3 linked regions of the Pelodiscus sinensis genome follow. The protein of the gene in region 2 interacts with the protein of the main gene of each other region in a pairwise test. Links are inferred from orthologs where the notes say so. Each region holds a gene or a part of one and is shown on either strand. Other genes may lie near its edges. The genes, in order: RNF20, HTT and PPARG.

The links.
Region 1: the proteins of HTT (region 2) and RNF20 interact in binary tests that used the Homo sapiens proteins (3 or more experiments, as listed by UniProt). The link is inferred for Pelodiscus sinensis from reciprocal best matches to the Homo sapiens genes HTT and RNF20.
Region 3: the proteins of HTT (region 2) and PPARG interact in binary tests that used the Homo sapiens proteins (3 or more experiments, as listed by UniProt). The link is inferred for Pelodiscus sinensis from reciprocal best matches to the Homo sapiens genes HTT and PPARG.

Annotation. Positions count from the first base shown.
Region 1 is NC_134716.1:7,957,307-7,961,054, forward strand, and holds the start of RNF20 (E3 ubiquitin-protein ligase BRE1A), read right to left. Parts: upstream 2,409-3,748; 5' UTR 2,306-2,408; intron 1,489-2,305; exon of another isoform or gene 1,467-1,488; intron 315-1,466; 5' UTR 261-314; intron 1-260. UniProt on the Homo sapiens protein: Component of the RNF20/40 E3 ubiquitin-protein ligase complex that mediates monoubiquitination of 'Lys-120' of histone H2B (H2BK120ub1).
Region 2 is NC_134715.1:116,691,183-116,694,930, forward strand, and holds the start of HTT (huntingtin), read right to left. Parts: upstream 2,301-3,748; 5' UTR 2,262-2,300; coding exon 2,161-2,261; intron 1-2,160.
Region 3 is NC_134721.1:47,574,752-47,578,499, reverse strand, and holds the start of PPARG (peroxisome proliferator-activated receptor gamma), read right to left. Parts: upstream 2,712-3,748; 5' UTR 2,592-2,711; intron 1-2,591. UniProt on the Homo sapiens protein: Nuclear receptor that binds peroxisome proliferators such as hypolipidemic drugs and fatty acids.

The sequences.
Region 1 (3,748 bases), on a different chromosome or scaffold from region 2:
TTAACTAGTTATCAGGTTAGTATTTTAATTTGACCCCCAAATCATTTTAAAAATAGTAATCTTCAAAACTCAAGACCACCACTTCTATTACAGGATTTTTTCCTCCACTGAAGTTAAACAAACAAACAAACATGTCCTGGAAATATTTTTAACCCAAACATTGCAAGACTGTGCCAATACAGGTGAACCTTCATGAAACAGACTAGCCAATTTTTAGGGCCATATCATCAGATGATGTAAATGGCCACAGTTCCACTAACCTCTCTGATGCTGAGCCCATTCACAGGAGCTGAAGATGTGCCTCTACCTACAAGCTGAACAAAAAGCAAAAGTAAACAAAACATATAGTATCAACAGATTTTTAAACTTCTTTCCATTTTACAGCGGTATTTCTAATACAGCTAAGGAATTCGCTTGCAAACATGCAGACACTTACTTTGAAAGCATATGTGAGTAAAGCAAATCAGTGTGTGAATTAAGTGCTTTGCTCAATCAGAGACTTAGGGTACATCTAGACTACATGCCTCTGTCGCCAGAGGCATGTAGATTAGGCTACCAGACATAGGAAAATGAAGCGGCGATTTAAATAATCGCCGCTTCATTTAAATTTACATGGCTGCCGCGCTGAGCTGACAAACAGCTTATCAGCTGTTTGTCGGCTCAACGCGATAGTCTGGACGCGCGGGTGTCGACGTCAAAGGTATTTGTCGACCACCCAGGTAAACCTCATCCCAGGAGGCATACCTGGGTGGTCGACAAATACCTTTGATGTCAACACCCGCGCGTCCAGACTATCGCGCTGAGCCGACAAACAGCTGATCAGCTGTTTGTCAGCTCAGCGCAGCAGCCATGTAAGTTTAAATGAAGCAGCGATTATTTAAATCGCCGCTTCATTTTACTATGTCTGGTAGCCTAATCTACATGCCTCTGGCGACAGAGGCATGTAGTCTAGATGTACCCTTAGTTTGCAATGTATTATTTTAACTTGACAGTGACCCTCTCAAGTGTCTCATGTTTTGAAATCTCTCCAAGACTTTTATAGCAGGTCCATACCATCTTTTAAATGTCTTATAAAGAACCTTAAAATGTCCAACATCTATGAGCTGAATCCTCCCACTGCCATCTCCTTCTCACTCTAAAATGTGACTGAAGGAAGATTTTCAGTTCCTTGTGTTTAAAAATGTCCCTCTTTTTCAATGGAGCATGCTTTTGTTATTTGTGGGATGTTTTTTTCCACAGAGAGCACTGTTAACAGAAACCAACAGGCTGACAGAAAAAAAATACCACTCTCAGAAAATATCTGTGTGCACCGCCCCACCCTTAGGGGCGATTATCCCATCACTCCCCCTCACACACACACCCCAAAAAGCCCCCACTGATCAAGTCACCTCACCCAACCAGCCCAAGTTCAGCGTTGATATTGCCCCTCCCCACCAGACACAGAACAGGGGCTGACCCCTACATACCTCCAACTAACTGATATCCTTCTACTCTATCCCAGGGGCGAGTCCCCCTCCTCTTACTTCCCCCATACCCCACAGCCCACCTTCCCCCAGCCCAGGGGCCAAGCCCCTCCTGCCCCTGACACTCCCCCATCCTACATGCCCCAGCCTGAGCCTCCGCTCCCCTTACCCCAGGCCAGGGGCCAACTGCCCCCCCCTCCGCGAACACTTCCCCACTCCCCCCCCCCGACCCCCCTCACACTCAGGGGCCAAGCCCCCTCCCCTTCTGCCCCTCCCCCATGGGCCAAGCCCCCTTCCCCTGCCCCTCCCCTATGAGCCAAGCCCCCTGCCCCTGCCCCTGCCCCTACGAGCCAAGCCCCCTGCCCCTGCCCCTCCCCCCACGAGCCAAGCCCCCTGCCCCTGCCCCTCCCCCACGAGCCAAGCCCCCTGCCCCTGCCCCTCCCCTATGAGCCAAGCCCCCTGCCCCTGCCCCTGCCCCTACGAGCCAAGCCCCCTGCCCCTGCCCCTCCCCCCACGAGCCAAGCCCCCTGCCCCTGCCCCTCCCCCACGAGCCAAGCCCCCTGCCCCTGCCCCTGCCCCTCCCCCACGGGCCAAGCCCCCTGCCCCTGCCCCTCCCCCACGAGCCAAGCCCCCTGCCCCTGCCCCTCCCCCACGGGCCAAGCCCCCTGCCCCTCCCCCTCCCCTACGGGCCAAGCCCCCTGCCCCTCCCCCACGGGCCAAGCCCCCTGCCCCTGCCCCTCCCCCACGGGCCAAGCCCCCTCCCCCACGGGCCAAGCCCCCTGCCCCTCCCCCACGGGCCAAGCCCCCTCTCCTCCCCGCAACACCCCAGCCCCGAGACTCACCCCCGGCCCAGCCACCGGGCCTCACCTCCGGCCTCCCAACCCTGACCCTGCAGGAAGCGGCCGGTGACAGCAGCTCAGCCAATCCCCGCCGGCGTCTCACGTAGCTTGTCGCCCGGCAGCGTGCCCTCAACAAACATGGCTGCCCTCGCCCTTTGCCTGCCAGAGGCTTTGAAGCCACTCTGCCCTTCCTCAACAGGGCGGCCACCGCCCACCGCCTGACAGGCTCTGCCGCCGCTCTGCCCTTAGTTGCCATGGCTACCGCCTCTCATTGGTTCCTAGGGGTTCGAAGTCAGGCGCCCTTCATTGACATGGCGGCTGCAGCCCTGCCTCTTGTCAGGGGACGTGGCTGAGCTGAGGGCACGAGTGGGGTACAGCAGGGGACCTAGAGCAGCAGCTGGGGGAGTAGGCGACCCCATGGCCTCGCTCCTCCAATGCATTTAGGCTCCCCACTTCCTAAATACCTTGGAATATTAACTAGCCCCTGCAGCTGCGGGGGTGCAAACCAGCCAGCCGGGGGGAAAGGAGGGAGGCACCAGCGAGGTGGGGGTAGAGATGCAGCCCTGTTAGTCTGGTGTCACTGAAACAAAAGACAGGACTATGCAGCGCTATTAGGTGATGAGCTTTCCTGGGCCAGACCCACTTCCTCAGATCAAATAAAGCGACGAGGAGTCCTGTGGCACCTTATAGACTAACTGAAGTGTAGGAGCATAAGCTTTCGTGGGCAAAGACCCATTTCGTCAGATGCATGTACATGCATCTGACGAAGTGGGTCTTTGCCCACGAAAGCTTATGCTCCTACACTTCAGTTAGTCTATAAGGTGCCACAGGACTCCTCGTCGCTTTTGCAGATTCAGACGAACACGGCTACCCCTCTGATACTTCAGATCAAATAGTGGAAGAAAATAGTCACAACCATAGGATACAATTAAAAAAATGAACACATATGAAAAGGACAAATCACATTTCAGAACAGAAGGAGGCTGCGGGGGGTAAATGTCTGGGAGCTAGTGATCATTGGGGACGCTATCTTTGTAATGGGCAAGATAATTAGAGTCTTTATTCAAACTTAGATGTAAAGTGTCGAATTTAAGCATGAATGACAGCTGGGAGGATTCTCTTTCAAGTGTAGTCTTGAAAGAGGTGGGGTGGGGGTAATCGAGGTGTTGTGAAATAGTAAAAGAGATGTAGCCCTGTTAGTCTGGTCTAGCTGAAACAAAAGACAGGACTATGCAGCACTTTAAAGACTAACAAGATGGTTTATTAGGTGATGAGCTTCCGTGGCCCAGACCCACTTCCTCAGATCAAATTGATGTGTTGTGGCTACTTGGTTAATTTGATGGCAGCACATTTGTTTTGCCGTTTATTTTTTAAAAATTGCATTGTGCAATATAAGCCAGCAGGTGCCAGGCTTCTCTCAGTCAGCACCGAAGCCAGGGACCATTG
Region 2 (3,748 bases):
AAAGATTTTAATTTGGGGCCCTCTACACCTGCTCCATCAAGACTTTAAAAAGAAAATCACAAGGATTGTGCTACTACAGCACTGTAGCACTGAACAGCTCCTTGTACTCATCCTCTACCCAAGCATTATAGTTAAGAGTCCAGAACAGTCATCATTAAGGTTAAGAATTTGACACTTATTTTTAGTAAAATTCACAGACAGGTTATGGGCTTTAATTAATTTTTGTTTATTTCCCAGGACCTATTCAGGACTTTTATTAAAAAATAAGTGTGTGGGGATAATGACATGGAGATGACTGAAGCCTGAAAGGGGAGAGAAGAGAGCCTGAGTCCTGCTGGGGGATGGACCAGCACCCAAAGCCACAGCCAGCTGACAGTTCTGGGGATGCAATTCCAACCCAGGGTACCCATCCAGAACACACCATACGATCCATCATCTATAGTCAAGCCCTTCGATACAACTGCATCTGCTCTAATCCCACTGACAGAGACCAGAAAATTCAGGATCTCTACCAAGCATTTATAAACCTCAACTACCCACCCGGAGAAATAAAAAAGCACATTGAAAGAGCCAGACTAGAAACCATCTACTTCAAGACAGACCCAAGAAAACCAACAATAGAACACCACTTGTCATTACTTACAGCCCCCAACTTAAACCTGTCCAACACATTATCAATAAACTACAGCCCATACTGGAACAGGATACTAAACTGGACATACTTCACTAATACCAACCCTGGTACCTTCCCTTGCAACAAACCCCATTGCCAGCTTTGTCCACATATTCACTCTGCAATACCATTATTGGACCCAATCAAGTGAGTTATAAGATCAAGAACACATATTCCTGTGCATCCAGAAATATAATTTATGCTATCATGTGCCGAAAGCGTCCATCTGCTACGTACATTGGACAAACATCTCAGACACTTCGCCAAAGGATCAATGCCAACAAAACAGATATTAGGATCACAAAGAAAAACAGTTTCTTACCATTTCAACCAGAAAGGACATTGTCTCAACGACTTAATTACCTGCATCCTGCTTCAAAAGCCTTTTAGACTGCACTTGAAAGAGAATCCTCTGAACTGTCATTCATGCTAAAATTTGACACTTTACACCTGAGTCTGAACAAAGGATCTAGTTACCTTACCCATTACAAAGATAGTTTCCCCAATTATCACCTCTAATATCATTAGCTCACAGACATTTACCTTCCCCTCCCCATTCCCCTTCTGTTCTGAAATTTGATTTGTCCTTTTCATATGTGTTCATTTTTTTAATTGTATCCTTTGGTATATATGGTTGTGACTACTTTCTTCCACTATTTGATCTGAAGAAGTGGGTCTGGCCCACGAAAGCTCATCACCTAATAAATCATCTTGTTAGTCTTTCAAGTGCTATATAGTCCTGTATTTTGTTTTAGCTGTTTTAAAGTTATTCATTCCTCCATATCAGTCTCATAGTTCACATTTTATAGTATACATCATAATTACTATAATAATTTGTCTGTTTTAACAGAACTGCTGCTTTAAGAAAAACAAACCTAACTACCGACCAAGGATCTTTCACATAAAGCTTCTTTTTCCCCCTCAAAAATAAAAGTTCAGTACATGCTAGACTCTGGATACCCAATTACCAGGATACTTTATTAAATTATCTTCTTCCAATGAGAAAAGGCCAGCTGAGTACAGAATACCAGCCTTGCTTTGCGGGCACACACGTGAATTACTATTTATTATTATTCCAGGAGTTCGCTAGAGCATGCGAGAGGCTCCCTGGCTGTCACGAGGTGTATGTATGTGTGTGTATATATCTACGTAGCAGATAGCAGCGGCCTAAAGAAGCTGCTGCTCTACTCGGGGGAGCGACCCTCACTGCGGAGCAGGTTAATAAACCTTTTCTTTCTGGTGAGAGCCTTTTGCTGGGTTCCTGTAACGGAACCCAACTGCTTTGGAACCCGCCGCCACGCATCCGTCAGCTCAAGAGACAACATCAAGGGCCCATCCGCCCCACCAGTGGCAGGCCCCCCCACGGGCGTCCCTTCCCCCGCCCACTCCACCCCCGCTGCTGGGGCGGCAGCTTCTAAGAAAGCTCTATGGTCCCCTCCTAGGTTTGCCCCCGACCTAGCCTGGCCGCCCCGCGGCCGCACACTCACACTCTCTGGAGCGGCTCCTCGGGAATGGCAGCCGGACCCTGCTGCTGCTGAAAGGAGCGGAGGGACTCGAAGGCCTTCATCAGCTTCTCCATAGTGGCCATGTTCCCTCAGGGGCCAGGCAATCGCAGCGCCCGGACCGGACTCCCCGAGCCGCCTCGCAGCGCCCGGGAGCGTGGAGCCTGCCCCCTCTCAGCGCACGGACTGCCCCCTCCTAGGGCCTCAGAAACTCTCCGCTTGCCGCGCCCCGGCCGCCGCGCCGCCGTGTCTGCAGCCGCCGGGGTCCGCACGCGCCGCCGCTCGTCACTGCAATGAATGGAGGAGACGCTGCAGGGGTCTGCGATCACTTCGAAACCGCCTCACCGCCATTTTGGAAACCTCCCATCATCCCCCACGCTAACCCTCCCTGCCCGGCCGAGAGCAAAGGTCCCCGCGCATGCCCCTGAACCCGGCCTATCCTCAGGGAGGGGGTTGGAAAACTAAAGAGTGACAGCCTCAACCACCAATCAGAAAGGAAGCTCAGGAATACTGGCCAAATCACCACTAGCGAGGGAGGCTGGGTCACCCTTCAGATAAACACAAACTTGGTTGAGAGGGCATACATTCATCCGCACTCCCCTCGCCCCCAACCACTCCGTTCTGCCCCGCCTCCTCTCGCGAAAGTCGCTGTCGGGTCCTAGTGCCCCTTTGGTTCATGTCAAACTTGGGCCGGTCTGCCAGAGTCCGCCGGTCGCATGGTGCTGGCTTCGTTCCCTTGGGCTCCCACAACCCATGATCCTCAGCGCACAGCAGACTGCACGAGGGCCGCTGGGGGTATGCCCTACTTAGAGCAACCTAAGGGACCATCTACACCCAGATCTTGTATTTCCGTTGCTACTAGGTTCAGGCCCCATGGTGTTGTCTGTCCTTTAATAGTCAGGAACATGACAGGGGACTTAATGACAGACAAGAAGCTAGTGCCCATAAAATTCTGATGTGAACACTCCTATTTGCGAATGAAATGGAGCTCAGGGCGTAAATAAGTTTGTTCTCTGAAAGTTAGACTTAGATATGTCTAGAGCAAGGGTAAGGTTGAGTTAAAGCAGTGGAAGGACTCTGCTACCTGTTGCAGAAGTGGATTATGTAATTCAGAACTTCAGAAAAACCCACTTCCATAGATCCAGGAAGCATACAAGGTACAGTACTCTAGCGGCATACACTTGCTGCTGTAATACACCCATATCCTAAGGTTGAGTTGAATGACATCATCCCTGTAGGTTTAAAATTGAACAACATGCATGCATCCAAGGGCTAAGGCAGGAATGGGCACTAATTTGTGGAATGATCCCTCTGCAAAAACAGGCCACAAAGTTCTACTATTTTAATGAAAAGGCTCCATTATGTTTTTATACAACAAATTGCACTTAGTAATTAACTGAATACACAATTATCCACAGCTTCTCTTAGAAGGCAATTGATATTGCAAACTATTTTATGAACACTTGTTAAATTTGTAATAATACTAATACTAAACTTTTACTTACAACTTACATTTAGTAAGTGAAAAGAAGAAATAAAACTCAATGAAGAAAAAGTCTCCAGTGGGTATTAC
Region 3 (3,748 bases), on a different chromosome or scaffold from region 2:
GAATTTAGGAACTGATCTATAGAAACTGAAAGAAAAGTCAAGTAGAAAAAACTTAGATTCAGAAGCTATGTCAATATCGGTATCATAACGCAAAAGTTAAAAACTGAAGCCGAAATATTGATCAATGTTACCATCTTATAGGCTTTTTGTTGTGGCGTCTGACTATATTAAATACTTAACAGGGAGGAAGAGAATATTTTTTCATAGAAAGTATATCTAATGACAAACTTTTCATGCTACACTAACATCTGACACAGCATAACATACCTTTCAGATCAAGTATTATTTATCAAGGAATGGATGCTTTCTTCTAGAGCTACTCACAGGAATATATAAAAATGTAAACCAATAATGCAATATTTTAATAAACTGATGTCTAAGAAGATTTAAATCTGAAAGTAGCTCCTATTAGAATACCTATCCACAGTTATTTTGATGTTTACCTGCTAATCTGAACATCTAGGTCTGACCATTTTATCAAATACCTCCCCCAACTGACAACATTCTAATTTACTTTGCACAGAATTTTTTAAAAGTGATTCTTCATTGTCTCATACTTACATTTCTGCTAATTTTTCACACTAATCTCCAGTAGGTTAGAGGGCATAAAAATGTTCACTATAACTATGCACAAGATATTCTAATATCAATAAGGGAACAATAGACATGACTAGTTTGAAAAGGTAGACTGGAACTACAAGTTATACAAGTTCCAGTGTACCCCAGGGGCCACACTGGGTCCTCTTCTTCTAACAAGTAATGCATTATTATCATCTTTAAAAAGTTACTCTATGCATATTATTATGCGTAGGTAGACTGTAGGGGGAAATATATTTTTGAACATTGGTTCATATTTCCGACAAACATTAATGTAACATTCCAGACAAACAACTCTTTTGGAGATGTAGAGAGTAGGCCACAAACAAAATGTATCAATCCACATTCTCTGTTTAAATATCTGGGCAATTATAATTGATCTTTTTAATTTAACTTAAATGTATCAAGACTATTAAATAATAAGTCCAAAGGTAAGTAACAATTGATCATTTCTTTATAACTTCCTATGCTTACCTCCAAATGGCTACACATAGATATCTGTCTAATTTCATGATATAATGTTATAATAAAATACTATCACAGCACTGTATCATGTGCATATACTGCCTTGAAGTTATAACACTACAAGAACTTGCAGTTCCCAGCTATAGAATACCGTGGAGAGAAATGACACCAGGAGGATTACAAAATACTGCAAGCCTGGGGGATGCCACCCATACATAATATATTTCAACATAATATCTCTGCTGTGGCATGACTAAACACAGGACTTCCTGACTCTTCTTGATTGAGAAGTCAAAGAGAAAATGATGCTTTTCATTCATTATCAGGTAAGTAAAGTGAGTAACACTCCCCAGCTATTTCCCCTCTCCACATACTGTAACAAGGGAAATAGCCACCTGCAAATATCACAATGTACCAGAGGCTCACAGTTTATTGTTTATATACCTCAATATCACACATATAGCAATAATGGACGTATGTCTCTGTGTGCATTCCCACATCCTCATACAGCACTCATTTACCCTGTCCCTCTGCCTATCCCCAATACACTTTATTAGAGACGTAACAGTATAGTCAATTCACTCATCAACCAATAAGCAAAATCTTATTGGTTAATGCTATAGACTACACACACTCCCACCAGTAAATTTTTTAGCAGGCTGGCCTCCGGGATCAACCCCCGCTGCAGCTCAGCATTTAAAGTGTATTAGGATCCAGGCGGGCAGGCAGGCCAGCTCAGTTCTGGGGTGACAGGCAGCTCTTCCATTAGGGGAGCTAGTTTTTAAACTGAAACGCCTCACAATCGATCTCCCGCCTGGCACCCCGCGTACAGAGACAGCAGCGCGGACTGCAGGGGGCTCCTCGGGAGTGGAGCCGGAACATACTGGCTGCTGGCCCCATCCCCGGGGAACTATAGAATAGTAGAGTATCTGCTAAGAATTCATGAGGTTAATCAACTGTTCAATTAACTGATATTTACCATCCCCACCCTTTATATTGCCTGCATGAGACTCAGCCCCCACCAGTATAATCCACCTCTTCATCACACAGCACCCAAGACCAACCTATGCTCCTAACTCCACAGGCCACCCAAAGGTAAAGCCTTGTGTGTATCTCACTGCCCCCTGATGCCCCCAAGGTCGCAGCTCCCCCTGGGGCTTGCATGCACCAAGTTCTTTATTCCTCCCCAAGCCCCTTTGGGAGCAGCGCCCTGGCCAGCGAGAGCCCCCCCGTGGGCACTAGCCCCATCCTCCCTCACTCATCCCGTGCCGCCATGCCCGCACTCCATGAAGCCCCCCCCCTTCATCAAGCCGCCCCACCAAAGAGCCCCCTGCCTCCAGCCCCAAATATCCCCCGGAGCACAGCCCTGCTTCCTGCGCCAAGGGATATGTCCCTCTCCCCACCCCCACAGCCCCAGCCGCCCCCGGGGTACACCCCTGTCCACCTCCACTCCAAAGAGACCCCCCCCGTCTGCTGCACTCCCCCCTCCCTGCCCGCAGAGAGCACCCCGCAGCCGCGCGCGCACTGACCTGGCGCTGTCAAGCCTCGGCAGGAGAAACTGTTCCCTTCTAGTGGGATAAACTCCCCCGCCCGGCCCGTCCTCCCGACGGGCGCCGCCTCCCTGCTCGGCAGGCGCCGCCTCCACGCCCTGCTGCTGGCCCTCCCCGAGCCTCGGGCCGCGCTGCCCTGCCCTGGCTGGGGGCCTCCTGCGCGAGCGGCAGCGTGGGCCGTTGGTTCCCGGCGCTGGAGCCTTGGCGGGAAAGGGGACCCTGAGGGGGACGGTGGAGAAGGGCCGGGGGCCAGGGCGCAGAAAGGCGTGTGGCACGAAGAGAGCTGGGGTATGTGGCATTAGGGAGTGTGTGGGATGCGTGGCTTCTCTTTCCTCTCACCCATCGCCACAGTCCGGCGAGTCCTGCCCATGCAGCCTCGAGAATCTCAGTGAAATTACAGATGTGTAGTGGAAGAGAGATTTTGGCCCCTACGGCCTTTGAAAGCTGAACTCTGCGGGTCTTTTCTTAAGTGTAACGGCGGCTGTGTCTAGACGACAGGGTTTTGTGGCTGAAAGTGGGCTTTTGGCGACAAAGCTATACCTGCTTCTACGCTACCGCTCTGTTCTATCGACAGGAAGGGTGTGTCTAGACTACCGAGTTTTGTCGACAGAAGTGGACTTTTGTCGACAAAACTATACCAGCGTCTACACTACCGCTGTGTTCTGTCGACATAACATTGACAGAACTCAGCAGTTTTGTCGACACTGGTAAACCTCATTTTACGAGGCATAACACCTTCTGTCGACAGAAGGTGTTATTGCCTGTAACATTGCGTCCAGACTACGGAGTTCTGTCGACAAAGCAGCTTGCTTTGTCGACAGAACTCAATGTGTCTGGACGCTCTTTGTCGACGGAAGTTTTGTCGACAGTATCTGTCGACAAAACTTCCGTCGACAAAACGCGGTAGTCTAGACGTACCCTAAGTGAACAGAACGCGGCAGTTTTGTCGACGGCGGTAAAACTCATTCTACGAGGAATCATGCCTTTTTTCGATAGCACTCTGTGGAAAAAAAGGCACTATTGCAGGCAAACTGCTTTTTTGAAAGAGAGTATCTAGACTCTTTCGAAAAAGTGGCTTGCTTTGTTGACAGTACAGGTTGTAGTCTAAATGCTCTTTTTCGACAGTATCTGTCGAC